Linked DNA regions of Arabidopsis thaliana. The protein of the gene in region 3 interacts with the protein of the main gene of each other region in a pairwise test. Each region holds a gene or a part of one and is shown on either strand. Other genes may lie near its edges.

Evidence for each region.
Region 1: the proteins of HESO1 (region 3) and AT4G28300 interact in a two-hybrid assay, tested with the Arabidopsis thaliana proteins (one large-scale study listed by BioGRID).
Region 2: the proteins of HESO1 (region 3) and AT2G05230 interact in a two-hybrid assay, tested with the Arabidopsis thaliana proteins (one large-scale study listed by BioGRID).

The regions. Positions count from the first base shown.
Region 1 is NC_003075.7:14,009,242-14,019,424, forward strand, and holds AT4G28300 (formin-like protein (DUF1421)), read left to right. Parts: upstream 1-5,404; 5' UTR 5,405-5,618; coding exon 5,619-5,774; exon of another isoform or gene 5,775-6,154; coding exon 6,155-6,442; intron 6,443-6,535; coding exon 6,536-7,582; 3' UTR 7,583-7,856; downstream 7,857-10,183. Other genes in the region: LLG3 (LORELEI-LIKE-GPI ANCHORED PROTEIN 3), read left to right, coding at 1,544-1,625, 1,716-1,772, 1,903-2,246; AT4G28290 (uncharacterized protein), read right to left, coding at 2,791-2,910, 3,101-3,223; AT4G28310 (microtubule-associated protein), read left to right, coding at 8,217-8,825; MAN5 (Glycosyl hydrolase superfamily protein), read right to left, coding at 9,052-9,454, 9,556-9,767, 9,858-9,980, 10,083-10,183.
Region 2 is NC_003071.7:1,897,029-1,908,065, reverse strand, and holds AT2G05230 (DNAJ heat shock N-terminal domain-containing protein), read left to right. Parts: upstream 1-5,240; 5' UTR 5,241-5,581; intron 5,582-6,028; 5' UTR 6,029-6,127; coding exon 6,128-8,248; 3' UTR 8,249-8,598; downstream 8,599-11,037.
Region 3 is NC_003071.7:16,571,271-16,582,255, forward strand, and holds HESO1 (Nucleotidyltransferase family protein), read left to right. Parts: upstream 1-4,481; 5' UTR 4,482-4,830; intron 4,831-4,966; 5' UTR 4,967-4,979; coding exon 4,980-5,118; intron 5,119-5,384; coding exon 5,385-5,549; intron 5,550-5,692; coding exon 5,693-5,871; intron 5,872-5,962; coding exon 5,963-6,058; intron 6,059-6,161; coding exon 6,162-6,231; intron 6,232-6,327; coding exon 6,328-6,458; intron 6,459-6,571; coding exon 6,572-6,682; intron 6,683-6,789; coding exon 6,790-7,434; 3' UTR 7,435-7,715; downstream 7,716-10,985. Other genes in the region: RCA (rubisco activase), read right to left, coding at 1-202, 284-756, 848-933, 1,033-1,138, 1,230-1,546, 2,031-2,075; AT2G39750 (S-adenosyl-L-methionine-dependent methyltransferases superfamily protein), read right to left, coding at 7,716-7,923, 8,036-8,113, 8,321-8,443, 8,525-8,782, 9,031-9,190, 9,409-9,519, 9,678-9,948, 10,044-10,193 and 1 more. UniProt on the Arabidopsis thaliana protein: Uridylates small RNAs to trigger their degradation. Catalyzes the uridylation of 5' fragments produced by AGO1-mediated cleavage of miRNA target RNAs. Acts synergistically with URT1 in unmethylated miRNA uridylation, leading to their degradation.

The DNA.
Region 1 (10,183 bases), on a different chromosome or scaffold from region 3:
AAAAATATTTATTTTAGTTTGAATAAAATTGTATGTTGAAAAAAAAGTATGAATTGGAAATATGCCCTAATGAGTCCATGAGACCATGACTTTTGTAGGGGAAATATACACAGAAATTGCAAAATTCCCCCATAACTTTATCCCAATATCATATTCATAAGATAAGAATTTGGCTCTGAAAAAAACAAAAGATAAGAATTTGGCAGTTTCTGTTTCTGGCAACACAATAGTAGATACTGAACCAAGCTCGATGACGTGGCACTCCATGGCTGCACCGTTACTCCATCAAATTCACTTGAAAAAAAAAACAAAAAAAAAATGCTAGTAATTTTGAAAATTCTGCTTATTTTGGTACTTTACTTTTTTTTTTATGGAAATTGTAACTATTAGGTGTTGAGTGAATAACAATGGCAATTTGGTAAGTTGTTTATTCAAAGTTGGAACTGGAGAATACTAAGTTTGCGACTAAAGCCTTAATCAAAGGCCTTATCAACCAATAGTTGAATTAGTTTATAGACCACAAAGATAATTAGGTTACACGTCACGGAAGCAAGGAGCTATTGGTGTCACCAGACCATAGTATTTAATTTCAAGTCTATTAATTGTAGAAGGCAACCCAAAATCCACTCCTTGAAATAATAAAACACTGTCTTAAATTCGTATTTGTTGAGTCCTTCACCACCATTATGTCTGATTCTGCTTATATACAAATTTAAGTAAGGTTGTTAGACGGTTCATGTCTCCGAATCTTTGATCAATTGTAAAGTGTAATGTAAAATAGTTTTTTTTTTTTTTAATTTTAAATTTGCGACTACTATATCTAAAAGTCTACTATCAACTACAACTTCACTTGTAAATTGTAATACTCTCGAATAGATCATTTTTGATGAAACAAGTTAGACAATCATCCAAAATTAATCACCAATTTGAGTGCCTCCGAATTTATTCACAATATTCATTATTGAAAAGCATTTTTGGATATGGCCAACCAATAAAATGAAAATTGAACTTTAAAAAAAAAAAACTACTATACCAACAATGTAAAAACAATGTGTGTGTTCACCATCATTAGAACAAGATCTACTCAATGTTTTAAATGTATATATAATATGTTTTGCGCAAAAAAACGTATATGTAATATTATATATATCACGTTCATGATAATGTTTTCAAATTCTCATATGAAATTATTGGAGCAAGTTGCATTTACGATCCGGAGAACTGAGCCAAGAAATGGGCGGTTCTCAATTTATTATGGGTATTATTAACCAGTGGTGGTTGAACCAAAATTAATCTATTCATTTTCTCTATCAAACTTTTTGTTACTTTGATGGTTTGTCTCAATCGATTAAAATAGTAACTAGTTATTTTGTTTTGGCATGTCACTGAATTGATGTTGTTTCTTCTAATTTATGATCCGCTATATCCGCAGCATTTTTCTCTCCTCCTATAACTCTAATGGAAACAGGAAAAAGAAAAAACAAGAAACGATTAGAAACTCAAATGTGACAAAAAGTCAAAAAATAGAGGAGGAAACAAAAACATGAAGATTACTCATCATTGTTTGGTTTCTCTTCTCTCTATCCTCCTTTTGTCTGGATTCGCTTTCTCTCATCACATCTCTCGTAAATTACAATTATCTAATACTTTTACTCGTTTTATTAAAAATATTGTTGAAGTTTCTTTGAAATAATTTATGACATTTCTATGTGCAGTTGATGAATTTGAGTCACACCCATCCACAAGCCGAGCTCTTCTTCAGGCAAAGGCAAGTAAGTAATATAACTCCCAAAATTTACACCATTGATTGTAATCATGTGTTTTAGAAACAAGCTTCATTGATGATTATTAGCTTAATAAGCAAAATATTCCATGATCATTACGTTAATGACATTTTAACAGCATGCAAAGAAGATTTTGCGGCAAAGAATTACACAATCATAACGAGTAAATGCAAAGGACCAAATTACCCGGCCAAAGTATGTTGTTCGGCCTTCAAGGACTTTGCTTGCCCATTCGCGGAAGTTCTTAACGATGAAAAGACAGATTGTGCCTCCACAATGTTTAGCTACATCAATCTCTACGGTCGTTATCCTCCTGGAATATTCGCTAACATGTGCAAAGAAGGCAAAGAAGGTCTCGATTGCACCGACGTCACCCCTACATCATCTTCCCATGCATCGATCCCTCTTGTTTCCACACACGTTTTGCTAATCACCGTTTCCATCTTGTTTCACCTCTTCTAAAGACTTGTAAATGTTACAATATGAGTTATATATTGCATTCCATTGTTAGTTGCTTTGTGAGCATAGATGTAAATGTTTGATTTTTGTTTGCACTCTCATTAACATCATTCGTTATGCCCGGTGTCGATAACTCTACCAGTCGACCTTAAGGAACTCAAGGGATTGCATGACTAAGTTCCGAGTTCCAATCCTAGGCAATGAATAATAATTCTAGAACATGTGTGTTTGGTACACATCATAACACTAGCATTCCTAACATGTTTTGTGGATCAAGAACATGTGTGTTTGGTCATTAATGGGCTGAGCTAATCTCTTAGGCCATATAGAGTCACTAGTTTATTTATGAAGACATGTTTGGTAAACCAAATAGAAGAAACATGAACCTCATAAATCATGCCTCTTGTCTTGGTGGTACACTTTAAGCCGAAGTTACAATAGTGATGTGAAAGAAAGAAAAAAAACGAAACTTAAAATCAGTAAATCTTTGTAGTTAATCAAATGGGGTAAACAATAAGAACCCTTACAAATCAGAACAATGCAAATGTTATCGGTGAGCAGTAACAAGCGTCTCGATGAATCGTAACCCATCAAACCTTGGAGCAAACTTCTCATCTCCCCCATCTTCCGACGAACCCTTCTTCTTCCTCTGTTTTTCCTTTGCCTCCTAACCACAATCAGCAGCTAAAAATTATTCTTTACACATCCGAATCCATGTAAAAGTTAAAAACTCTCCAACTTTGTAATTTGATAAATTTTTGACTATGAGAAACTTATTGTGAGTACTTGAAACAGAGGAGGAACTTTAAATGCTACCGAGAAACAAATAAACAAGAGCTTGATTCTTCTTTTTTTACCTGACGAGAGAGATTAGATTCCGGCGAAGAGAATGACACGGAGGTGTTGGTAGAGCCGGCGGAGATCGCCGTGGCAGAAGCCGCGACAGAGATGGAGGCTGCGATGATTCCAGTTTTCTTCATGTCTTGATCTTAAACTTTCCCAAATTCGTGGACTCTGTTTATACTTTTTTTTGTTTTTCTGTGTTAATAAAATAAAATCTGCAACCGTAGGCAGATGAGAGAAAAATGTGGGAAAAATTGAGGTGTTGGCTTCGATAGTCGACGGTTTATATACGCAATGGGGACAAAAGTTAAATTACGCTAGTTGACCAATTTATGTATCGATAAAGTATGTTACCGTTTTACCCTTTTCTAAATACCTTAAGCATGATTTAATTGCGTTAATTACAGCTAAGATCATTGGTAAACGTTTTTGAATAGAATGATTTATCTTCTAGAAGAATTTAATTGGAGTAAGAATGGGTAGCGTGAAAAATAAGGGGGTTAGTATGGTCAAAGCATTAGAAAAAAAGAAATGTACTTTGAGCCTTGAAGTCAGAACCACACAAAGAGAAACATGATTGGTTGATCTGTTAAATGAAAATGGGTCCATCGTTGGTTGGTAAGTAACCCACGTGTCCGGACAATGTTGCAACTATGAGTTGGTGTTTTGAGAATGTTAAAAGTCAGCTTTGTATTGGACGATTATGCCCCTCTTATTTCTCGTTTATTACTGTTGGTATTGTATGCTCATAAGATAAGGTTCAAGAAAAGAAATGTTCATAAGATAAGGTCGAAACACTAAATGACGGGTGAACAATGGCATTGAACAAGTGGATCTGATTATTTGTCTTTGAGAGCATATCTCAAATGCAAATTGATGTAAACTGATTTGTGGATACCAAACCTAACAAGTCCCATATGGTTTTCTGGTGAGATTTCTCTGCGTCAAATTTAATGTTGAACACATTTATTCTTTGATAAAGACATCACAATCTCGTTAAGTTTTAATACTCGTCTCTATATATTTTACGTCCGGTCACTATTTATGAAAAAAACAGAGTAGTAGAATAAGTTATTAACACATGATCGTACAAAAGCATCTTATGGTGACGTATAGGATCATAATGATATGATTAATAAAGTTTTGATTAAAGATGTATGGATACAAATGAAAGAAAAAAGTTTGCGGCTATATCTCTTTAGGGATGGGTTCTTAATAATTAAAATTACTTTTGAAGGACTTTATCGTTTGCGCAATCTCATAATCATGTCCACATATCTCTACTTTTTCACCGGCCAAAACTTATTCGGTCCATATCCGTATCTTAACGTGAATTATTGATCATGCCGCAAGACCAACAAGCCCACAACTTATTTTACTCTTACATGTGTAAAACAATTAACAACCACAGTGATTGTGGACAGGAGAAGATGAAACAACTCAATGTAAGTAACCCAACACAACCGGTCAATCGGTCATTCTTGTGAACTGGTTTCATTACAAGAACGTGTACCAACTATCTCTAAGCAAACATGCAGAGGCTATGATATCATACATCATATATCAACAAGTTACCAAAAAAAACACTCGTACAGTCGTACTCTTGATGTAACTTCCAAATAATTTTTATATATAACCGGTTCATGTTTCTGGTACATGCTGACAACTACAATATGTTCTTCATACAAGTTTAGCTGACCAATGTGACTACAGATCCCAAAAACTAGCAGCAGTAAGATGGTTGGATTATAACACAAGACCAAGATCAAAGCCCTTCCAATTTCTCAAGAACTCACATATCACTCACTCCTCAAGAAGAACAATTTACTAACTTGAGATCCCTCGTATCTTAAGAAAACACCTTAGGGAAGAAACAATATCAGCGTTGAGAACCTGGTTTCCTCCACAATGCATTTGGCACACATCGGAACTATGGATTCAAAGAGCACCAAAACGAGTCTATATCTCTCAGTTTTATGCCAATGCCAACAGAGCTCAAATGGCACCCATAAAAACATCAAAACAGTCTTCTTTATAGATAATAAGAATATAAGATATCTAGCCTAGCAAAAAGATCGAAACTTTGGGTTTCCCCCTTCGTTACCTCAATCCTCAATAAAAAAAAATTCCAATGAAACGAAGTGAACGAACGACGTCGTTCTATTTTTTAGGTTGCAAATAATTGAAAACAAATAAACGGGACAAATTCACAAGTAATCAATATATTTAGGGACGAAATTACAAATATTTAATAGAAAAACAAGAGTTTGGCTGTTTCCTCCTTCTTTCATCCTTATCACAAGTCTGAACTAAAAAACCTCAATTGTAATAAACAAATTAAAAAGCAAAAATATAATAAAGAGAAAACAAACGTTTTTTTCCTGCTTGCTTCTCTCTTTGCTTGCGTTTTCTCAAAGGTTCGAAGAAAACGAAGAACCACGCTTTTGCTTTTTTCCCAAGACTTAATCTAAAAAGCGAGATTTCCTTCTTTCGATTCTTTTTTCTCAATCTGGTTTTCAGTCTTCGGATTCAATGGCGTCTGGATCTTCGGGTCGGGTCAACTCAGGATCCAAAGGTTTCGATTTTGGCTCCGATGATATCCTTTGCTCTTATGATGACTACACCAACCAAGACTCCTCTAATGGTCCTCACTCCGATCCTGCGATCGCTGCTTCCAACTCCAACAAGGTTAACCACACTGATTTACCCTTTTCTTCCTTTTTTTAGGTTCGGGTATTTTGCTCGATCGGCGATTTTTGTTTGATTTTTGGGAATCTAGAGTTTTGATTTGTGGTTTGCTCAGAGATACGTGTAAAAACAATTTCGAGGAGTCAATATCGAACTAGTCCTCTTAGTGTTGAGCTAATTTAGCTAGTTATTTCTATGTTGGTTGTGACTTATGAGGAGCTATGTTCTGTGGAAACGCCTTAGCTATGAATCTGACTTGGAACTAGAGCTTGTTAAGCTGTGCTTGTCCTCCTTATTTTCAATTGGAAGAAAATTTCATCCACTTTTGATCAGATATACTGAGCGAGTCTTTGTTTATTGTTTCATTTTTTTGCTTGTAGGAATTCCATAAAACAAGGATGGCAAGGTCTTCGGTTTTCCCTACAAGCTCTTACAGTCCACCAGAGGATTCTTTGAGCCAAGACATTACTGACACTGTCGAAAGGACCATGAAGATGTATGCTGATAACATGATGCGCTTTCTTGAAGGCCTCAGTTCACGCTTGTCTCAGCTTGAACTCTACTGCTACAACCTTGATAAGACCATTGGAGAAATGAGATCGGAGTTGACTCATGCACATGAGGATGCCGATGTGAAGCTTAGATCTCTCGACAAACATCTTCAAGAGGTTTGTTATTGTTATGCAATGTTTTTAATCCTTTTTGTTAATTTTAGTTTGTAAAACTCTGATCAGTAATTGACCATGGATGTTCTGTTGTAGGTGCATAGGTCTGTCCAGATTCTTAGAGACAAACAAGAGCTAGCAGATACTCAGAAAGAGCTAGCGAAGCTACAACTTGTGCAGAAAGAGTCATCTTCGTCGTCTCACTCTCAACATGGTGAGGACCGTGTCGCCACTCCTGTTCCAGAGCCTAAGAAGAGCGAGAACACCTCTGATGCACACAACCAGCAGCTTGCACTTGCTTTGCCTCACCAAATAGCCCCACAGCCACAGGTGCAGCCGCAGCCACAGCCACAACAACATCAGTATTACATGCCTCCTCCTCCTACACAGCTTCAAAACACACCTGCACCGGTGCCCGTTTCTACTCCACCATCACAACTTCAAGCACCACCAGCGCAGAGTCAGTTCATGCCCCCACCTCCTGCTCCATCTCACCCAAGCTCAGCCCAAACTCAGTCATTCCCGCAGTACCAGCAAAACTGGCCACCCCAACCACAAGCCAGGCCACAGTCAAGTGGAGGCTACCCAACATACTCGCCTGCACCACCAGGCAACCAACCGCCAGTAGAATCGTTGCCAAGCAGCATGCAGATGCAATCACCATACTCTGGACCTCCTCAACAGTCTATGCAAGCTTACGGATACGGTGCTGCACCACCACCACAGGCTCCTCCTCAGCAGACAAAGATGTCTTACAGCCCCCAGACTGGCGATGGGTATCTACCCTCAGGACCTCCTCCTCCTTCCGGGTATGCCAATGCCATGTATGAAGGTGGGCGAATGCAATACCCACCACCTCAGCCGCAGCAGCAGCAGCAGCAAGCCCATTACTTGCAAGGTCCACAAGGTGGTGGATACTCTCCCCAGCCGCACCAGGCAGGTGGCGGTAACATTGGTGCACCACCTGTGTTGAGATCAAAATACGGTGAACTGATAGAGAAGCTAGTGAGCATGGGTTTCAGAGGAGACCATGTCATGGCTGTTATTCAGCGGATGGAAGAGAGTGGCCAACCCATCGACTTCAACACCCTCCTCGACAGATTGAGTGGGCAGTCCTCAGGAGGACCTCCCAGAGGATGGTGATGCCATGGCTCCCCTCTACTTGTGTATCTTTCAAAATAAAACTGTGCTTCCTCTTCCTCCTCCTCTTTGCGTTACTCTATAGAGGCCCTAGTTTTATTGGGCCCAATAGATTGGGTCTGTTGTGTATTGTTATAAGACTCAATTTATATTTCTTTAAAAAGCCTTATTATTTGTGTATGTGTTACTTTCAATGTTTTTCTTGAACCCAAAATCTCTTATCAATGATTTGCTGCTTTCTTTACTTCACTTTTGTTTTATATAGATTGTGAAAATTAATAACCTGAATAACAAGCTTTTAATATTAAATGGAAATTAGTTCCTATACCAAAAAACCTTTCAAATCATGAAATTTGTGTATTTAGAAAAATTGGAAAAATAAGAAAAATGGAAAAAAAAATGTCAAAAATAGATTTGCGTAAATCCTTAAAACCAAAAAACAAATAGAAAAAAAAAACTGCGGGAAAGGAAAATAGAAGAGGCGCCAAAGATTTTATTTCAAGCAGCGCGGTTAGAGTCTCGCGCCAATAAACATACCGCCACAATCTCCTTCTACATAAACAGCCCTAATCCTCTATCTCAATCTCAATCTCTCATTCATCATCCTCTTTTTTCAATCTCGTTTAAAATTAACATAATGATGACGCCAGTGAAGAAAAGTATCGCCATTAGACCGGTGTCGTTCTACGGAAACGGGCTTCCTCGTCCTCGTTTCTTCGATAATCCTAAGTTCAATGATTACCGTGTTGATCCTCCCCTCTCTGTGCTAGATCCTCTTCTCTCATGGGCGAGAGACGCTCACTGGTCAATGGGTGGTCTCAACTTCACGCGTCTCCGTCTCCAAGGCCGGATCGAAGGAAACGTCAACAAGCTCCGTGCACAGCTTGAGAAATCCACCCCTGTGAAACTCGAATCTGGAAGGAAGAAGAAGAGATCTGGTTCTGAGTCTCCTCCTTCTGCTCCGATTGTGGTGAAACGAAGGAGGTACTTAGATCTGAACGATTCTGATGATGAGGAAGTCGGATCTGAAGATGAAGGTGTGGTTAGAATCAGGAGAAAACTCTCTGATGATTTTGATAGAGTCGCTGAAGAAAGCAAGACTAAACTTGTTGAAGCTAACAAGAAATCGATTAAATCTGAGTTTGTGGAGAAGAAGAGATTGATTGAGAAGAAGAAGATCGTAAAAGTTAACAAGACAAGTTCAACGAGGTCATCTCCAAGACTGGCTAAGCGTAGCTCTAATTAGTTTTCATATTTAGTCTCTTCAATAATTTCTCTTAGGGTTTAGAATTGTTGAGTACTTAGTTTGTTTTTTTGTATTTGTGCTTATAAATATGGATTTATCTATGAACTCTGACCAATGAACTTGAATGCATCAAGATATTTTTACTCACTGAGTTGATTCTTGTATACAACAAAAATGAGAATCAGATTTCACTGTAGAGAAAAAAGACAGTTTACATGTGATTCTCTCAATGTCTGTGAGAACAAAGTTCTTTCAACTTTTGTTCCTTAAGACGTCCTGTGACTTTACCCAATCTGCAAGATTGTTCTATCATCAATTTGTAAATGGAATCTTGTTCATGTGGAACAATCCCAAAGTCATCGTTGAATGTTTCCATGCCTTCCATGAATAGCTGCCACACTAATGTGCCTGCACCTGACTTCTTTCTTTTGGCTGATTTGTAAACCACGTCGAAGATGATTCTGTAGAACTTATCTCGCTGCGATGGTTCGTAGTCCTTGTTCTGGTTTGATAGGCCAAACTCTGTGAAGAGAACTGGCTTCTTTAGTTCTTTCAATCCATCTTCTATGTGAGATTGCATCCATTTCACCACAAACTTTAGCTTCTCTTCAAATGTCTGATTATGAAACCTGCCCATATATACATTTGTAGCAGAATAAAACAAGTGAGAAACCTGCACCTGAAGAGCTCAATGCAATTATATCTTGATTCTCTGATCCAGCTCACTTACCAGTGATCAGGGTAGATATGAACGGATGCAAAATCTATGTTTGAGGAGTTAGAGTTTTGAACAAAGTCTGTTCCGAGCTGGGATGCCCACTGTTCTGGATTAACTGTGAGCCCTTTCGGGCTATTAGGACCATAGAAGCCTTCCAGACCTACTGTGAGGAGATGCTTGTCATCGATTGACTTAATGAATCCCGTCATTTCGTCTATCCAATCCTGTGATCCAGCAAAGAAATACATAAATATATTTGCTGAATAAGAAACAATCTGAACGATTCCAAGTGGCAAGTGAAATGGAATACTCACTTGGAGAGTTTTGCCAGAGACATCAGTCGTGCATCGAGGCTCGTTTATCAACTCCCAAGCGAAAATCGTAGGATCGTTTCTGTACTCTATTCCCGTTACAGAGTTCTTCCTGGTGAGCAGAACCTGCGAATTAGGAAATAATCATTCAATCTTTACTCATTAAACTTCCTCTCACTATCACTCAATGATTAAAATGTTCAATCATAATCAGCAAGAGACCATTACCTTGAGATAATTCTTGAAGTAATTGCGGATAGATGGATCAAAGAAGAAGGAATCATTGGAAGAACTAAGACCAACACCTTCTTGCCATGCCCATTTCACAT
Region 2 (11,037 bases), about 15 Mb from region 3:
CTTAGCCTATGCAATAGGACTAGTTAGTCGTTTCATGAGTAAACCAAGATCAGTTCATTGGGAAGCAGTCAAGTGGCTGCTAAGGTACATAAAAGGATCACAGGATCTGAGTTTGGTGTATACTAAAGGGAAAGATCTCAGTGTCATTGGTTACTGTGATTCAGATCATGGTGGAGACTTGGATAGGAAAAGGTCTACTAGTGGATACGTTTTCACAGTAGGAGGTAATACAATCAGTTGGAAGTCTTGTCTACAATCCGTAGTGGCTTTGTCATCAACTGAAGCAGAGTTTATAGCTTTGACTGAAGCAGTAAAAGAAGCTATATGGGTTAAAGGGTTGCTTGAAGATCTCGGTTTTCAGCAGGATAAAGCACAGGTCTGGAGTGATTCTCAGTCAGCGATCTGTTTATCGAGGAATAGTGTGTTCCATGAGCGAACCAAACACATGGCACGCAAGAGGTCATTTCTGAGTGAGATTATTGAAGAAGGAAACATTGAAGTTGTGAAGATTCACACTTCTATTAATCCTGCTGATATGTTGACCAAGTACATTCCCGTGAAAAGTTTTGATTCAGCTTTAGATACTCTGAAGCTGATCGAATGGAAGTAAGCTCTTAAGCTTGCATTGCTGGAGGTTAAGTCCAAGCATGGCAGTCTACTGTGTTGAAGAAGATTTGTATCAAGATGGAGAATTGTAAAGGTGTGATTCAAACTTCTGGTTTAGCCTGATGTCGACTTGGTTTAATCAGTTAGTTGTTGGATCACGGTTCAATGCCGGTTTGGTATTGGTTGAAGGAGAAAGGAGAAATCGGTTTGAGTTCAGTAGAAGATTGAAGAGACTCTCTTGGTATTAGAGGGTTTGACTTGGACTCTGTTATAAATAGTCTTCTTCTTCCTTTGTTCGTTGTAACAGAAAATTCTTATCTCAATTCTTCTCCTTTGTAACACGATCTTGAGCTCTGGGTTTTGAGCTTGAGTAAATATTGATTCATAGTGGATTGCTGGATTGAATCCAGCCCCAGACGTAGGATCATCACACCGGTGATCTGAACTGGGTAAACAATCGTGTGTTCGTTTCGTTCTTTGTTTGATTATGTTCTTGATCGATCTATTAAGTGTTCCGCGAATTGAAGCTTGATCGAGTTGTGTTGTGATTGAATCGAGTTGTGTTGAATCGATCTTTAAGTTATCGGATTGTAACAGTTTGGTTATGATTCAGTCTTCTTGGATTCACTAACTGAAAGATAAATGTTTATAATGTGAGTAGTTTACAAATTACTTACGAAGTACGTGACTTATGTATCTTTAAAATCGGGTTACTCAAGTGCAAACTTTTTTTTCTACTATAATGTTTTGTAACAAATTACTTGATTATGATTTTGCATTACACTGTTTTGCATTCAATATTTGTGTAAGGATTTAAAAAATATAGCTGACTTTTGTATACTATCTCTCATTTCTTTAATCCATCTCTATTATCCGTCTATACATGTTTCTCTTTTGAAGGTAGGTGACTACGGGCTACAACAATTACGACAAAAGGGAGACAAATAATTCAAAAACGTTATTCAAACGTTTAAGCACTAAATGTCACTGAAAAGACGATGCTATCAAGTATATGGAGTTTCCATGGAGATGGCTTCATAACAAAGACGACATACTGAAAGATAAACTGACAACAACAAAAGAATTTGAAGATGATCCATTTGTATATGGCTCTAGGTAGTGACTTTGTGTTAATAGTTCATGTTTAATCTCTTACATCTTCGTCTTTAAAGTTATTTTTCTCCGTACGGGTCTAATACTAGTAGTCAATGATTCCGAGTTACTATCCAAAATTTGGCAAAAGAAATTTGTTGAGGCAATGTGATGACAATGGCTATGATGTCTGCTTTAGTTTCTAAAATATGTGAAAGTTGCAATTAGGTCTGGGCGTTCGGATATTCAGGTCGGGTTTGGGTCGGGTATTTTGGATTTGGGTATTTCGGATTTAGAAATCTAAGATCCGTTTGGGTATTTTAAGACTTCGGGTTCGGATTCGGGTTTATCCGCAGTATCCAAAACTCAAAACTTTTATATCAAAATATGTTAAAATTACTTGAAACTACACAAAAATTTATAAAAAAACTTGATTATTTTCTATCTGAATTTATCTAAAAGTAGGTAAAATACCTAAAAATATACAAAATAACTTAAAATCCAAATATTTTAGGCATTTAAGTTGTTGTATATATGATTATTATTGATAAATTATTTGTATATATATATATATATATATATATATATATTTCGGATATATTCGGGTACTTGATGGGGTTCAGGTACGGATCGGGTTTTCGGGTTTTGAAGTTTAAGATCCATTCGGGTATTTTAAAATTTCGGGTTCGGATTCGAATCGGATTTTTTGGGTCGGGTTTGGTTTGATTTTTCAGGTTCGGGTATTTTGCCCAGGCCTAGTTGCAATTGAGAATTCAAGTTCTAGATTAGTTTGAGGTTTTGTGATTGTTAAATACAGGACATGATGTGGAGTATAGACTATTGTGGGATCATAACTTTTTTTGAGGAATGTCTCATGTTGTGTGCTTGTCATCTCTCTTTTATTAGGTGTTTTTTTTTTTTTTTTCCCCTTCTCTTTAGCTCTGAATCTCAGGCTTTCCTGTGATAAATGGCAATTTGAAATTGTTTTGTATGCCCTTATATGCCCAGGTTATACGTTTCGACCTCTGGCTTCGCAAACAATTGATGTCTCTATTATACCATAGACTCATTACGCTTGTGGATGTTTCAGATTATAAACTTGTTGGGTTTGGTTTCCTTGTTTTAACATATATAACTGGATGTTTTGCCTATACTATTTATACTGTTGGAAATGTAAGTGAGTTCCTTTAGCAAAGAACAACATACAATTATTAGACTAATTAGACTTGACATGTTTCGTAAAAGCGTTTCTTTGCTTTTTTTTGTCGGCAAGCGCGTAGCATTTTATGCTGTGTTTGGGTTGTTTTGAAAAAGAAAAGAATTTTGTTCAAAAAAAGAAAAAATAAAGAATTTTAAAAACAATTCCAAACTTATTTAACGAAAAAGCTTTCAAACTATTTTATTAGATAAAAAAATTTTCAATTTTATATTGAACTTACTATTTTATCTCCGTTGTTAGTCAATAATTTTAACTCGTTATTATTGCTTTAAAAGGAAAATAAAATGACTTAATCAACATAAAATTGGAAATTTATTTTATCTAATGGAATAGTTAAAGTTTTTTTAGTCAAAAAGAAGTAAATTATATATTTTTATGACATTTTCTTATTAAAATTATATGAGAGATGTTAGGTGTAAATGGTTTGATGTTTATGGCATAATGAAATAAAATGTTATAGAAGCAAGTTTAACGACTACTCTAACAACTTTTGATTTAGTCCATGGACTTATGTTTTTCAAAAATTTAAAACTATTGTGTTTATGGTGTTTATGGTGTTTCGACCATTGCATTCAAATCAAGTGAGAGTAAACAAATTGTTTCTCTGTTTCCAGATATGAAAGACACTGACATGAGCAATGAAATCAATGTTATAGAAGCAAGTTTAACGACTACTCTAGCAACCTTTGATTTACTTCATGGATTTATGTTTCTCAAAAGTTTGAAACTATTGTGTTTCATTATCGATGTTTTAGGTTGATATCGGGTCTTTCTAGTGTCTCGACCATTGCATTCACGTCATAAGTAATAGATTATAGTTCGAAATGCTAATTTGACTGGCCAAAAATCTAGAGAACTGAAATTATTATGAATATTATGGTAAAGAGTGTAGGGTTAAAAAATTTTGATCCAAGAAATATGTACAAAGAGTAAAGACAAGCGAAAACACTTTCGGCTAAACAAAACAATACTATACAATTCTTTCTACTCGAGACATTTTTTTCTGATCTGTTCTTAAATTTTGGAGAAGAAGAAATGAGGTTTAAAAAGACATCTTAACTGCGTTCCCAAAGTAAGATGTTTGGACTAGCAGTTAGTTTTGGAATAGGCACAGCCACAAAGCGTGCCACTAGATCCCTAACAACTTACATTTACATTGGCAAAAAACCCAACTATGCAATTGTTACATACTTTCCAACATCCAATCACACGATAGTGACATAAAAAAAGTATCAGTTTATAATTATTTAGAACTGTGAACAAAATGAGAAATGTATAATTATTAGAAAATAGAAAAAAACAAATATTAATAATTTTTTTAATAAGTGTGAAAATTCTTAAATGAATCTTCATGAGTCATAACCTCATAGGTTAACTGGATGGTGTTTACAAATATTATTATTTTGTTAACAATTATTAAAGTTGAATTTTTCTATAACTTTATGAAACTATTATTTTAACCCATATTCATATATTACACTATTAACAAATTATTATTATGATACTAGATAAAGCCCGCCTAAATAGGCGGGTGTAAAATGTAACTGTAATTTTTTATCTATAATATTTAAATTTTGAATAATAAAATAATAATCTATACATTGTTCTTGATATATAATTTTGAATAGTAAAATAGTAGTCTTATGCATTTTATTTTATTATACCCATTCAATCTTATTGATGATATTTGAAGTCTAAATAGTAACCTACACACTTTTTTTATATTATAATTTAGTATTTAGAAGAAAAGAATAAATTTTTATCTTACATATTCAATTTTGTAATACAATTTAACTATCTATTTCATAAAAAACTCGATTTTAATTCTACACACTTCATCTTACTTGATAATGATTTCATGTCAAAATAATATATATATGAGATCAAATCTATATCTTAGTTAATATTAAAAATTATTAACAATTAACAAAACATAATTAATAATAATAAAAAATTTGTTAATACCATACATATTAAAATTTTGACCAATAACATATATAAATATTTTTGGTTAATTTTCCTTTTGGTTAAGAAAAATAAAATGTAATATATTTTACATATATATAAATATATGAATTAGTATATGTTAATAATGATTTATTTTTTAGTTTTCTATTTCTTTAAGAAGAAAAAATTTAATTGATTTCTTTTTTAGTATTTCTATTTCTTTAAAAAGAAAAAAGTTAATTATTTTTTTATATGTGTCAACATCCGATCGATAGACTTGACACATGACATAATCTTATGAGTTAGTAATTTTTAAAACCATACTTTATATAATAAAATTATTATGGCATATATCAGAGTCGAGATAACCACTATTAACAAATTAGCACCGTTTACTTTCACTCCAAAATTATTTTACTTAACAAAAAAAAAAACAAATTTTTATTTTAGCTTCCATTTTTTTTTTCCCCGAAATTCTCGACGGTGTTTTCCGGCGATTCATTCTCGATGCCTGAATCGCCGATTACCTGAATTCACTGAAACCCTAAAACCCTAAAGTTACTGTAGTTATTAAAGCTGTGTTCTTGATTCCAAATCTTTGCCTAAAGATTCGTGCTTTTTGTTTACTTCCGATTTGATCTACTCAATCTCTGGAGGAAGAAGAAGTTTCAGAGATCTATTTTTGAAGCTGTGTTTGTAATTTTCCCCAATTTATCAGTAAGATCGCTAACTTCGATTCTCAGTTTATTTCATTTATTGAAATTTTAGGTTTTTGGTTTTTGTCATTGTTGTTTATTGAAGAAATTAGTAAACTTTGAGTTGGGATTTAAAGTTTAATCCTTTTGAGTTGGGTTTTGTCTTATGAAGTTGATAGCTTGAATCTGACTTTTTGGTGAAATTTGTTCAAAATGGAGATAAAATTAAGCTACTTTTTGACTATCTAAATCTAGTTTTGTATAATTCTCTATGTCTTTGTGATATAAAGTTAGCGATTTTGTCAAAAAAAAATCTGAACTTGGAGATTCTAGATCTCGAATCTTAGGATGGTTGTTGTAAGTTAGTAAGTATGGGTTTGTTTGAGTATGTGTGGTTGGTTAGGTATTGGTTTGCATTTGTAGTGACTCAAAAAGAATTAATGTTGTTCTTGTGAATGTTTGTTTGCAGATAATGATGATCTTTTGGTGCTTGAATATGGAATGCTTGCGGGAACGGTGTTAGTTTCCTTTTGTAGAGCTGTCATATATTGTGTTGGTTTCTTTCTACATGGAAGCTTACAGAGAGGAAGCTCTCAGAGTGAAACAGATCGCTGAGAGGAGATTTGCGGAGAAAGATTTCACAAGCGCTAGGAGTTATGCGTTGAAAGCGAAGTCTTTGTTTCCTGATTTGGAAGGTTTATCTCAGATGGTTGCGACGTTTGAAGTTTATTTAGCTTCTCAGACTCGAAGCGGTGGTCAGATTGATTATTACGCGGTACTTGGACTGAAACCGTCTGCGGGGAAAAGAGAAGTGAAGAAACAGTATAAGAAGATGGCTGTATTGCTTCATCCTGATAAGAACAAATGCATTGGAGCTGATGGTGCATTTCATCTCATATCTGAAGCTTGGAGTTTCTTGTCTAATGAGTTTAATAAAAGCACTTTTTATTACAAAAGAAAGAAGCATATTGACTCCACTGAGGTTCAGAAGCATAGCACAGAGTACATGCCTGGGACTGGGACTGGGACGGGGACTGCAGTATTTGATCGGTTTCCACCATCTTCAGAAAGGCTTGATACTTTCTGGACTGTATGCACCTCTTGCAAAGTTCAGTATGAGTATCTGAGGAAGTATGTGAATAAGAGGCTTTCATGTAAGAACTGTCGTGGAGCATTTATTGCTGTAGAAACTGGTCCAGCTCCTGTTAGTGCACCATTTCATTACACGCCTCCATCCCATGCGCCTCCCTCTCATGCGCCTCCATCTCATGCGCCTCCGAGTAATGGCTATGGTGCACATGGTTATGATGCTATGTCACGCATGCCCACCAATTCCACGTATTTCTTAGGCCACTATCCTGGGCAAGGACATGGATATGATTATAGTACGAATGGTTCATATGAATGGAGCTCGTACTCTGGAACAACAACCTCCCCAGGGAATCTGGATTTGAAGCGTGTGTCCTCAGTGTCTAATGGGTATCCTTATAAGCACAGCAACTCAGTAGTCAGCGGGGGAATAAATAAAGTCAAAGATGGTTCTAATGGGACATGCTCGAAGAAAAGCACACCAGGTGGTCTGATATATCCTAATCAGATCAGCATGTCTGCTCACGCGAGTGCAAATAAGGTCGGCAGACCTGGGAAGAAAAGCAAAGTTTTTATGGAAGCTGCTGCTAATGGATTTGTTGAGAACCCTCTGAGATCTGTTTCAGTATCAAAGACAGCGAATACAGATGCCAAAATGGATCAGGATTACAAACTTCATATCCAAAGTTCAACTAGACGTTGGTCTGCTGCATCAGTATTGGATACACGGAAGCCCTTAATTCAAAAGGCCAGAACAGATATCAAGCAAAGATTGGAGATGATGAGATTGGCTTTAGAGGCAGCAGCGGCTGCAGAGGATGCAACACCCCTTGATGAAAAAACTGTTCTCTCCTGTAAGTTGGGAGATGTTACAGGGCGCAAAACTAACGGGCCAATAACAGTTCCAGACTCTGATTTCCATGACTTTGATAAAAACAGATCGGAGGAATCCTTTGAGCCAAGGCAAATATGGGCAATTTATGATGAAGATGATGGTATGCCACGCCTATATTGTGTGGTGAGGGAAGTACTCTCAGTTCAACCCTTTAAGATTGACATTGCCTACTTAAGCTCTAAAACCGACATCGAGTTTGGGTCAATGAAATGGGTACAATATGGGTTTACAAAGTCGTGTGGACATTTCAGGATACGAAACTCTGACATAGTAGACCATGTTAACATCTTTTCGCATCTTTTAAAAGGCAAGAAGACAGGGAGAGGTGGTTGTGTTCGAATCTTCCCCACAGCTGGGGAGATTTGGGCCGTCTACAAGAACTGGTCACTGAACTGGGACGGATCAACACCGGACGAAGTGAGGCACCAATATGAAATGGTCGAGATTCTTGATGAGTATACTGAACAGTATGGTGTGTGCGTTACCCCTCTTGTTAAATTAGAGGGCTACAAAACCGTGTATCACAGGAGCACAAGGGAGGACAGTAAGAAGTGGATACCAAGGTGTGAAATGTTGCGGTTTTCACATCAAGTGCCGTCTTGGTTTCTTAAAGATGCAACCAGCGGCTTTCCCGAAAACTGTTGGGACTTAGATCCAGCTGCAATCCCCGAGGAGCTGCTTCACATCGGAGCAGGAACCAATTGATTTCAGTGACCCTGTAAGAGAAAGATGGTTTCACTTTTCAGATTGAGACCAAGTGTAAGAGTTGTTGTATCAGCGAAGATTGTGGAGTTTTATGAAGGACTATTAACACGCAAAAACCATACTGTTTGGTTCAGTGAAGCTGTTGTATTAGGCAAATGTTCAACGAGTAAGCAAAGCATAGTTTGACTTTTGTTTACTCTGTTTCTTCTTTTCTTTTTCTTTTTCGATTATGTATTCGTTTCTTTGTTGACCTTAGTGATGACAGAATTTTTACAAGTAGAGTTATAAATGTAGCAATTATCTTTCCATTTCTTGCTGCCTTTTATTTAGTAATTGAATTTACAAGTTAGTGAAACCATTAACTAAAATGTTAATAAAATTAATTTTTATTCAAAATTATAAAATTAAAATTATATTATTAAAAAAATAATAGTTAATTGAGATGGTAAGGGTAAATTTGGAATTTTATTTTTGTTATGAGATCGTGAGTATTAAAATAGCAATAATTAATTGTTTGTGTATTAAATTGCACGGTTTTATTACTTCGTGTATTTACCTTCCAACAAAAAACAATTGGGTCTTAAACGTCCAAATAAAATTTAGTTGAGGTTTTTTTTTGGTTTTTTCCCTTTTATTTAGTAATTGAATTTTCAAGTTAGTGAAACATTCCACGGGTCGAAACCATTTTAAAACTTTGAACAAGGTATAGTTGTTCCACAATGAAAATGTGTATATTACCTGCTGCTTCTACTAACTCTTTAGTCCAAGGTCTAGAGGAAGATATTTTTGTGTTCAGTCTTTGGATTTGGTTAATATCATGAAGTTGTTCTTTTGGTTACAAGGTCTTCATGAACTAAACAACACAACTACCATACTTAAGTAAGCCACATCCAACATTCTTAACATGAGTTTCTTTTGGTTAATTGTTTCTCTGAGTTTAATCAATTTATACTTTCATGGTCTTGGTTTGCTTGTTGATTCTGTTGTTTTTGGTCTTCTGCTTGATGGTTAGATCTATTTGTATCGTGATTATGTGTTTGTAAGGAAGATCACTTTGGGGAAGTTTTCTTAAACTCTTGAGTGCGATAATCTTTGAGTTACTATCCAAAATTTGGCAAAACAAATTTGTTGAGGCAATGTGATGACAATGGCTATGATATCTGCTTTAGTTTCTAAAATATGTGAAAGTTGCAATTAGGTTTGGGCGTTCAGATATTCGGGTCGGGTTTTTCGGATTTAGAAATCTAAGACCCGTTCGGGTATTTTAAGACTTCGGGTTCGGATCGGGTTTTTTGGGTTCGGATTCGGGTTTATCAGGAGTATCCAAAACTCAAAACTTTTATATCAAAATAGGTTAAAATTACTTGAAACTATTCAAAAATTTATAAAAACTTGATTATTTTCTATCCGAATTTATCTAAAAGTAGGTAAAATACCTAAAAATATACAAAATAACTTAAAATCCAAATATTTTAGGCATTTAAGTTGTTGTAGACTTGTAGATATGATTATTATTGATAAATTATTTGTTATATATATATTTTGGATATGTTCGGGTACTTGATCGGGTTCAGGTTCGGATCTGGTTTTTGGGTTTTGAAGTTTAGGATCCATTCGGGTATTTTAAAATTTTGGGTTCGGATTCGAATCGGATTTTTTGGGTCGGGTTTGGTTTGATTCTTCAGGTTCGGGTATTTTGCCCAGGCCTAGTTGCAATTGAGAATTCAAGTTCTAGATTAGTTTGAGGTTTTGTGATTGTTAAATACAGGACATGATGTGGAGTATAGACTATTGTGGGATCATAACTTTTTTTGAGGAATGTCTCATGTTGTGTGCTTGTCATCTCTCTTTTATTAGGTGGTTTTTTTTTTTTTTTCCCCTTCTCTTTAGCTCTGAATCTCAGGCTTTCCTGTGATAAATGACAATTTGAAATTGTTTTGTATGCCCTTATATGCCCAGGTTATACGTTTCGACCTCTGGCTTTGCAAACAATTGATGTCTCTATTATACCATCGACTCATTACGCTTGTGTGGATGTTTCAGATTATAAACTTGTTGGGTTTGGTTTCCTTGTTTTAACATATATAACTGGATGTTTTGCCTATACTATTTATACTGTTGGAAATGTAAGTGAGTTCCTTTAGCAAAGAACAAGATACACTTATTAATGTACTATACAAGAAGTAAATTAGATACTTGATTCAGTGACTACTCTCTTCAGAAATTTTGTTTACTCTAGAATGTTTAGTTCTAGATACTTGATTCAATACTACTTCCTTCGGATATGTCTCGATAATGTTTTTAATGGCTTTAATTTCATAAAATATTTTCTCTCTTTATATGTCATTGCTAAATAACAGAATTAAAACAATAAATATATGATGTTCTAATCTTTCATCAATTTATAGCATCATCTATTGAGAAGTGGACAAAAACTGAATCAAAACCCTGATCGCAAATAATTGTCAATCGATCAGTGATATGGTGTTGTGAAGAAGCTGGGTTCAGATTGAATCGGAATGTGATTGACAAAAAAAAAAAAACTGAATCCAAATTTGTTTTTTTTCTCAACGTTGGTAACAGTAAAAACTGTTAATAGTGTTTGGGCTGGAAAAAATTAAGTGGGCTTCGGTTTTAGATTTGGGCTTCAATAACAGTATGCTTTAAACAAAAGAGGTAAATGTAATGGGCTTTGTTAATTACCAAGTTTCTAACAAAATTATTAATGTTACAAACATATATTGTTTTTAGAAATTTGTGACAAACACATTTACTAATTTCAATTTCAA
Region 3 (10,985 bases):
ACTCTCTTGACATTCTCTTGTTCCATCACAAGCATGTTTCCGTATTCCATAAGCTTCTCATAAGTCATCTCGGGTTGCTCGAACACGGGAGGTCCTTCCCTTGAGTTAACCAGCCTCTTTCCGATCTTCTCAACTCCAAGGCTCTCAACGAACTTCCTCACTTCATCATCGTACACTCTCGCCCTCAAAGCACCGAAGAAATCTGTCCACACCAAAAACACATATCAGATTCTGCACGAGGTCCTATATAGAACATTTTCAGGGTAGTAAGAATCTTTCTTACCGATAGATTGACCAGGGAACTGATCAACAAGTGTGACAATGTCTTCGTCCTTGATCTTGTCAGTTCTGAAGATACCCTTGCAGACACCGATACGGTCTTCACGGGTCGGGGCCCAGTAGAACTTCTCCATACGTCCATCACGGATGAGAGGAGCGTATAGGGTGGAGAAATCGTTACCAGTGCAAATGATGGGGACACGTGCGTTCTCTTCCTTGTTGTACATTCCTGGGAGCTGGACGTTGGTTGGGTTATCAGCAATGTTCATGAGTGTTGCGTTAACCATCTGGTTGTTGACAGTGTACTGAGTAGTACCACCCATACGACCCGCACCAGCGTCAAGATCGTTGATGAAGAGACAACACATCTTTCCCTTCTTGATCAAGTCAGCTGCCTCACGGTACCTCTGACGGATAAGCTTTGCGGGTTCTCCTGCGTTTCCACTCTCAAGCTCTCCAGCACTCATCATGATTGGGCTGCAAAAAGATTCAAACTTTTTTAGATTCTTGTCGAAAGAGAGCTAAACAGAAACCGGGTCAAGATCGGAGATTTGGGAAATGGACTCACTTGATACCCATCTTGGCCATGACAAGCTCACACTGGAAGGATTTACCTTGACCTTTGCCTCCCCATATACCCAAAATAAGTGGAACCTATGAGACAAAAAAAACAGGCATTTAAAGATCAATAAAGTTGTGTAATAAGTCAAGATTGCACCAAAAAATACTCAAAAGAAAAACTTTAAATTATACCTTGATGTTAGGCAGAGTCAAGAAGTTCTTGGTGATGTGAACAACAAGCTTGTCCATGAAAGCAGGAGCAATGTAAAACCCATCCATCATGTTGTCCAAGTTGTACCTATATTTCAAGAAGTAAAGACAATTTTTAAAACCAAAGACTCCAAAATCTTTATGGAACTAATGAGAGATCTAGAGAGATGAGAACTTACTGCCTAAGGCCTTGGCTAACGTATTCGTATGAGCTAAGGACAGCGTGGTGAGTTCCGGTTCCCATAGGAGCTTGGAAGACAGAGTCAACCATACCCTTGCCTCTGGTGATGTCTTGTTGATCATCAGAAGTGTCGTAGGCAAGACCTCTCCATCTGTCTCCATCGGTTTGTTTGTCTTCTTTCACAGCCAACACCTTGAATGATCCGTTGCTCTTCTTGTTGCTCTGTGCGAATCTCGACACAGTTACAACTTTCTTTCCCAAGAAGGTTGAAGCTGGGGCTGATACAGCTCCTGATCCTGACCCGTTCAAGCTCAACTGCAACACACACACAAAAACAGTTCAATCACCAATCATGAATTCAAGTTTGGTTTATATGGTTCAAGAACCGGTTTAGAGACTATTCCTAAGGATAAAAGGCGCTCAATCAGGAACTGAACCGAACCAAACCGGGGAATAAACTTTAATTTGGTTCACATAGCTCAAGGTATAGACTAGTCCTGAAGACTAAAGAGTAGTAGTAGTCTCTACAGTTTCAGTTCAATTACTATACATCGATTTAAACACATCTACTAAATCTATAGTTCACAAGTAGAGAATAAAAGAAGCATCAAAGTATCTTTAGATTTCCTAGTTAAAGTCCTGATTCTTCTGTTCTGTCAGAGAATCTCAAAGTGATTCAAACGATCAAATTCTTGAGCTATATTTGTAAAAACCAAAGCTATTCAAGTGGTGGATAAGCACAAAGCGTTAAGATTATGTTAAAAGTAACATTAAACCACTAATGGAGATTGAAGTGTACCGGAGCTCTGTTGATGGCACCGACGGTGGAAACTGCGGCGGCCATATCTCAAGACTGCGACGAGTATGCGTCACAACACAAGAAGCTGAAGAGAGGAATTAGATTGGTAGAAGAAGAAGCTTAGAGAGATGTTGGTGTGAGCAAGAAACTGAGAGATTTATAAAGCGAGTGATCAACAACCAATTCGTTATCTCTTCGTCTTCAAGGCTTAACTCTCTGATCGCCACACGATGCGGATTGGCCAAGTTGCCACGAGGAAGATGATTAGGAGGATTCTATTTTGATTGGTCCACGTGGAATATGTTTATGAGGTTGTCGTCAAATGGCTAATCTGTGCCAATGGATTTGTTTTTTTTTTCAAGTGAAGATTATAACATTATTTATTACCACATATGCTTTGGAAAATCATTGTTTTTTTTTTTTTTTTTGAGGATTGAGGTAAGCCATTCATATGTGATCAAGATACTTCTACACTCTTCTTCATACGATAACATTCCAAAATTTTGGATAATGACATTGCTTATCGATAATAATGTTCCAAATAACCGATGTAAACTGATTGGTGGAGAGAAATTGGCTTAGCCAATAGAATATAATTCTAATTTTGTTATATACAACTCTAGATACAACAGGTATCAAGTATGTGGTTATCAAATTAACCATATTGTACTAAACCGCTAAAAACTAATTAATGCAACTTTTTCTTTACACAAAATGTAAAAACAAGTGATGCAATGCATACGTAAGATTTGATAAATATATAGTTTAGAAGATGAAGTAAAGATAGTCGAGGCTAAGATAGCATCATGCAAAATATCATATGCTAAAATATGAAATAAGATTATAGTGTTTAAATTCATAGTGAAAATATGAATATATCAGAAATTCATATGAATTTACTTGTTTTAAAATAAAAATGATAACTATATCATAGTTTATTGTTCCCTCAAAGTTACTATAAAAACAACTCATCTAAAACTATATATTCACAATCACAAGCAATCGTTTTCTACACTAAGCTATAAAATGAAACACTTCACTTGTCTGATCATTATAATTTCTCATCCTCTTCATTATTTTCAGTTTTCTCAACCATTCTCTCATGTGGAACGAGCCATCATATCATCAATGGACAAAACCAAATTTTAATTTTAGGCTTCATTCGCTGCCGACGAAGCAATATGTACATGTTCTACATGCAAGACAAGAGAACAAAGATTACTGATATGATATTAAACTATTATTGATCCATATATAAGACATGTTGAAGAACCAAACGATTGATAATAATGTGGTGGAGCTACTCGCACAATGCTAAATGTTAACTGTATGTGACAAAATTAGCAAAAGTTTGCGTGCCAGGTTTGATTCTTAGTACACATACATGACTTTTAACATACTGAGGTTAGAAAATGAAGTACAGTAAAACCTTTATAAATTAATAATGTTGGGACTGCAAAATTTTATTAATTTAAAAAGGTTTTAATTTATCGATAAATTAATATTTTTTAATTATAGAGAAATTTTCCTAATTTGGTAACTTTTTAAAAAGTTTTATAAGATTTTTTTCATTATAGAAAATATCTTTCTAAAATCAATTACAAGTACAAAATTATATCATGTCTAGAAAACAATACCAAATTTTTTTTGATACAGTAACACATTAGAACTAAATTTCAAATAAGAATAACTACAAATTTAAGTAAAAAAAAATCAAAAACATTTCTTACATATAATGTATATATATAGTTGATACATTTATGCAATTATTAATTTATGATATTGATGAGACTATATATTTACATAGGACTTTCAAAAAAGTTATTATCTTATTAATTTATCGATGTGTTACACTTTTTACATTGGTCCTAACTTGGGATCTGGTGAATTTATTAATTTATAGAGGTTACTAATTTATCGAGTATTAATTTATGGAGGTTTAACTGTAAAAAGAGTTGAGGTTACCATTGCAATAAAATATGAGACAATGTGTAGAGGAGGATAAAAGATTGAACAAAAAGAAGAAAGCCAACTAGTTTTTGTCAAAAGGATAATTTTCCATGTGCATGCAAGTATGCAACCACATCAAAATCATAAATAAACATTGTCTAAAATGTTTCTAATAAAAATAGATGTAAAGAAAATTCATCAGTTTAATAACTAGGGTTTAAGAGATATTTACAAATACTAACCATTAACATCATATTTAATATGACTTTGTAAAATCTATGATCAAATAACATGCAATTTTTTTAATATGTAAAATAAATTATCTCAAAATATTTGATTGAATATATACCCTTTAATTTAGCATTGATTTTAAAAATCCAACAATTTTCTATAGTATATTTTGTAATAATGTTATTGGTTCCTAAAAAAGATGGTCACATCATTCATTAAATAAAATGAAATAAAGAAGTGTTTCCTTCGTCGCATTGAATAAAATAAAGTAAACCTTCCAAAGACTTTTCATTGTCTTCGCCTGCGAGCGCTAAAATTATCTCCGAGCATTCTCAAGTTGGGTGATTCGGTACGGATTACTGATTTGGGAGAGAAAAACCCTAGATTGGAATTAGATTCTGGGTTCTTGGGCTAAAGGTTTCTTCATCTCCTTCGAATCATCCTTTTGTAAGTCCAGTGGATGTGAAAACCCAGTACTCACTGATTCTTTTTATTAGGAATTTTGTAAGGTTTTGGGTAGAGTTTTCACAGTTTTGATGATACTAAAATGTGGGCCACTGGGTCTAGAGAATGAAGAATCTTGCTTTTAGTGACAAAGGTTGTTCCTTTGGAGTAGTAAGTGAGCAAGATATCAGAAAAACTGAACCTTTAATCTCAAGAATTTACTTTGATTGGAGCTTGTGAAGTCCTTGTGTTATTGTTGCATGATGTTTTCTTTGAGATAACTTGGCAATGTGTGTTTGGTGTTATTGTAGAGGGAGCAAGACGATGAGTAGAAACCCTTTCCTGGATCCTACTCTTCAAGAAATTCTTCAAGTGATTAAACCCACACGAGCAGATAGGGATACGAGGATCACAGTCATTGATCAGTTGCGTGACGTCTTACAATCCGTAGAATGTTTAAGAGGTGATGACTCTTGATGCACTTTTGTGCTTCTCCCATTTTTCTTACTGTCTAGTACTGCCTTGAACCATACCAGCCATGGATGTGATTATGATATTGGATATGAAAGTGAGATACTTCGAGCTTTCAGTAAGGTAATATCTGCTGGAATTGTAGCTGCAGAATAGTAGAAGTGGTTCATGTTACTCTTTCGCACTATTCTCGTTCTGGAAACAAATTATTTCATGTGATGCTTATAGCCGCTCGTTGTCTGGTTCTGTGATTGTTAGGTGCTACTGTTCAACCATTTGGATCCTTTGTGTCAAATCTCTTCACACGATGGGGAGACTTAGATATCTCTGTTGACTTATTCAGCGGTTCTTCCATCTTGTTCACTGGAAAGAAGCAGAAACAAACTTTACTCGGACATTTACTACGAGCACTGAGAGCGAGTGGTGATTCATTTAGCTTCTATTTTTTTCTTCTTTTTTTGGTTTTCTCTTTGCTTCACTGTTGTTTACCTTATATACTACTTAAGTAGTTTAAGTATTATTTCATGTGCCGATTTGTCTCACATCCATTATCATTCAAAAAACAGGTCTATGGTACAAACTGCAATTTGTTATTCATGCGCGAGTTCCTATTCTGAAAGTAGTGAGCGGCCACCAGAGAATTTCTTGTGACATTTCTATTGATAACCTGGATGGGCTTTTGAAGAGCAGGTTCTTGTTCTGGATCAGTGAAATAGATGGGAGATTCCGCGACCTGGTTTTGCTAGTAAGTTAACATGCAAATAAAACCATATTGTGTGTTTCCAAAGGTTTAATTGATTCTAAACGTATCTACCTCGTGTATTCTACATTTGTAGGTGAAGGAATGGGCGAAAGCTCATAATATCAACGACTCAAAGACCGGGACTTTCAACTCTTACTCTCTCAGTTTGTTAGTCATCTTCCATTTTCAGGTAAGATAGCTGTTCTGTATTCATAGATTTTGCTGCCTTCAGCCTTCTGCAGTTACTGCATCATTAGAAACCATAGTAAGATGTTCTATGTTGTTTGTTGCAGACTTGTGTGCCTGCAATCTTGCCGCCTCTAAGAGTGATATATCCGAAGAGTGCGGTTGATGATCTGACAGGTACGCTCAATGAAAAGGTTTTGAAGCCAAACCACACAAAATATATGTGTTTTTGGGGTAAAGGGACAAAAGTTTTAGCGGTATGGTGTCTTGTAGGTGTACGGAAAACTGCAGAGGAAAGCATAGCGCAAGTTACTGCTGCTAATATTGCGAGATTTAAATCAGAGAGAGCAAAATCAGTCAATCGAAGCTCGCTCTCGGAGCTGTTGGTCTCTTTTTTTGCAAAGGTGATTGATTTCTCATACATTCTAGCTTTAATTTTTTTCCCTTAATAATATCCACTAAAGTGCTCTTGATAGAAATTAGTATCTTGATTTTGCTGTGTGGCTGTATCTATCAGTTTTCAGACATAAACGTGAAGGCCCAAGAGTTCGGTGTTTGCCCGTTTACTGGAAGATGGGAAACTATAAGCAGCAACACTACATGGCTGCCAAAGACATACTCACTCTTTGTTAGTCTCTTTCTCTTTCTTTCTCTTAACCTCTTGTTGAGTTATATTCATCTCTATGGCACCATGTGAGTCTCCCGGCTAACATGTGGGAATGGTGTGTGTTTCAGGTTGAAGATCCTTTTGAGCAGCCGGTGAACGCTGCAAGGAGTGTGAGCCGTAGAAATTTGGACAGAATAGCTCAAGTATTTCAGATTACATCGCGCCGTCTTGTCTCAGAGTGTAACAGAAACTCCATCATAGGGATTCTGACAGGGCAACACATTCAAGAGTCTTTGTACAGAACAATAAGCCTCCCAAGTCAACATCATGCAAACGGTATGCACAATGTCCGTAATCTGCATGGTCAGGCTAGGCCACAGAACCAGCAAATGCAGCAAAATTGGTCACAGAGCTACAATACCCCGAATCCACCACATTGGCCACCACTAACACAATCCCGACCACAACAGAATTGGACTCAGAACAACCCCAGGAATCTTCAGGGGCAACCACCTGTCCAAGGCCAAACTTGGCCTGTAATCACACAAACTCAAACGCAGCAGAAGAGCCCATATAAGAGTGGGAACCGACCATTGAAAAATACATCTGCTGGTTCAAGTCAGAATCAGGGCCACATTGGTAAGCCATCTGGTCATATGAATGGTGTGAACTCTGCAAGACCTGCATATACGAATGGTGTGAACTCCGCAAGGCCTCCATCAAAAATTCCAAGCCAAGGCGGACAGATCTGGAGACCGAGACATGAGCAGTAGAATGAGGTGTGCAGACATGGTTCAGAGATACTCCTTCACATATTTTGGATGATTTTGTATTCTGACCTTGGGGCTTTTTTTCTATGGATCCATTCGTTACAATCAACAGATTTGCAATAGCAGAATGTTGTTACTAAAAAATGAGGACGAGGTAAACTTTTACTCAGTAAAACACCACAATCAAATTTACAGTTACATTAAGAGAAAAAAGAAGAAAACAATAAGAGATATACTACCAAACAAAATATATTGTGTTGACTAGTGCAGTAACTTGTGTGGTATTAAGCTCGAAGGAGACGCTTCTCGCATGTTAGAATCCTGTAACTTGCGTGAGGACCCTCGGATGTGTCACGCAGAGAAGTATGCCAACCCATGGCCTTTGTGATTTCTTGAATTTCATCCATAACATCAATTGAATCCCTAATGTATGCTCTTCCACCGGGTCTTAATATCCGGTCCATCTCTAACAATATGGTTGACATCTCACATCTGATAATATTCAGACAAGACAAATGGTTAAACTCAACTATAGGCACCACACGATCATAGATTAAAAATTTATAAATCACTTTGAACTTGAGTTACAGATAATGATGCTTACCTTTTTCTCTCGATCGAGAAGAGTCCAGAGGCATGTAAGAAGTCATATGTCCGTGGGTATGTATCAAATGGTTCACACCTGAGGTAGAATGCATCACTTATTAAAAAAATATCCAGAGCCAGAGACTAAATCTTAGTTTACCTTAAGACACATAAACAGATGAACTTTTGTGTTTAAAAAACATGAACAGAGAAAAGGACAAGATGAATCACTAATTTCCAAGGTTTCAACTATAGGATTCCAAATTCTGATTTCATATGACAGATTCTAAGGAGAAAACAGTACCAATCGTGCATCACTCCTAACAGTCCACGGTCATAAATGACAGGCAATGTGTTAGGCCCACTGACAGGAACCACGCTTAGAACCCAGCAATCGAGTTTATGATCATTTAGTGCAGCTGCAAATCTGCCAAAGCCAAAGGAATAAATGAAGAGAGATAAGCTAAGATACCTGTATAATACCTAACAAAGAAATATTATTTCATACCCGCCAAAGCCTGCTCTCATGTCCAAAACATTTCTTAGTTTCATCTTTTTCCATTTTAAGGCGCGAACATAGCCCCCAATTATTTCATTCCAATATTTTGATTCTGCCTTGAATAGCTCTTTCCTAGCAATGTAGGAATCAAATTTTATCGTCTGCAGCCTATCAGGTGGAGTATGCAGACGGGCAGGCCATAAGGGGACGTTTCCTCCGTACCCTTTCTCAGGTATGCGACTGATGCAAGGTTTCAGATTTGTGTACCTAAAACAACAATAAATCAACATGAGGCATAAAAAATGTGATATTTTGCACACATTGTCACAGACAAGTTAACAGACAGACTAGATGCAATCAAAACAAATCAAATTGAAAAAAAGTTCTGATGCAACTCTGACAGCATTTTAAGAACATGTAGCCTTTATTCTTCTGTTGTTATGCTTCCACATGCAGGTAGCAAGATATGGCCTTGTATCACAAACAAAGAAAAACAGAAAGATTAGCAGCTGTACCAAACATTATCGGGATCATCTGATTCATCACAAAGAGGAGGTTTAGTCCCAGCCTCACGACTCAAATAGCAGTCGTTGTTGAAAGGCTTCTGCCAGATTGCAACGTATCCTTCCTTCTTTACCAATTTCCAGCAGAGGCTAATAGTAAGATTCAGCATTTCTGGAAAACAAAATGTGAGATTAAAAGAGTACACATATTGGCTGAATCAAAGTAGTAATAAAGAAAAAAAAAAACTCTCCTTAAACCCACAGAGACAAACTGTAGTAAATAATAAAGCCACGTACAATGATTACTAACTCCAAAAAGTTTATTAAGACCAAAGAATTTTATCAACCCTGAATTACAGGCCTACTCAAAGCAGATTAAAAGGATGTTACCTGTCCATTGTTCTTCCAAAGCGGGTTCATGCTTATAAACAGGCTGTGCAGCCCAAGCAAAATATCCTCCAGCGCGCAGCATTCTATTGATCTCAAGGAGCAAAATTCCATCTTTATCACAAAGAATGAAACAGCAGAGTGAGAATTTTCTGTACAAGTAATAAAAGCTAGAGCATAGTTCACACAGGGAGTTAAAAATTACAGTAGGTGCAATCTTAATCTTTTTCTGATGTATTAGGTGAAGAATCAAGCACACCATAGAACCTTACCATCACGAGTCCAGTTGATTCTACATCTTGAACAATGAATAAGATCAAAAGCTTGGCTTGGATATAACAAACGCCTTGTCGCAAATGCTGCCGCCATAGCAGGCACACCACGCTCAAGAGCAAATTGAATTTGGTTCTCATGGACATCTTTTGGTGCAACAGACATTGTCATGACATCACGAGACAATAGATAAGCACCAAAACTCGCCACACCACAACCAACATCCATAGCAACCCTAATATGCTTGCCAAACGTAATATCAGAAACCATCTGCAGACACAAACTCCAGAGCTCAACATCAGATGAAAAGATACATAAACAGTTGACGCGAAAAACAAGAACTACTACTTGGAAAAATGAGCCACCTTAGACATCTGGTCCAAGTACTGATCAGCCCCATGAATAAACTGTGTACCACCTCCAGGAAACTTGAACTTGTTCTTGTCTCGTGAAATCCAGTTCTGACCTCCTTTGTCTTCAACAAGCCGAGTATGAGGAACATTGCTAAACCATACCTATCCATAAGTAAATTCCAAATACTACTTAAACTAAATCCCAAGACATGTTATCCAACCAAAATGCAAAACTCATGCAAACAAAGGAGTACCTCGTCACGGCTTTTAGGCCATGGAATCGGCTGACGGTAACCTTTAGGAGGTGGAACTAAGCAATTCAAGCCTTTACCTTTCTCAGGACAATGACGCTCGAATCTCTCACCTCGCTCTGTCGATTTAAGCTTCTTTATCACATCAGTATTATCCAAACAAGGTATATACTCTCTCATACTCTCAGGACACATCCCAAATTTCTTAATTCTAACCCTAGCCTTAGAATCACCGTCGCTTTTCGCCTCAACGATCTCAGTCTGATTCCCCCAATCTTCCACTGTATCACTCTCAACCTCACCCACCTCAAAATCGTCAGACATCACACCGTTCGCATCAACTATCCCAAAGCTCTTAACCGGACCAGGCGGAGGAGGAGGTGAAGGAGAAGGAGGTGGAGGAGGAGGAGGATTAGCTTCCACCTTAACCTTCTCCGTGTCCGCCACCACCGACGGAGGTTGTTGTCGTATTGTGGCGGGGATTTCAATCTGGGTATGGTTAGTAGGAATTATCGCTGATAAATTAAAGACTCTGTTACTATTCGGTGAAACGGAGACCTCCGGGATCGAGCTACCGGAAGTGGAAGAGGAGAAGAAGACGAGCTGTTGGTAGCCATCGTCGGACCAATGCTTGCCTAAGTAGAAGAAAGCGACGGTGACGAAAACTAAGGCGGAGATCTTGATCAGAGTTGGGGATTTGAAC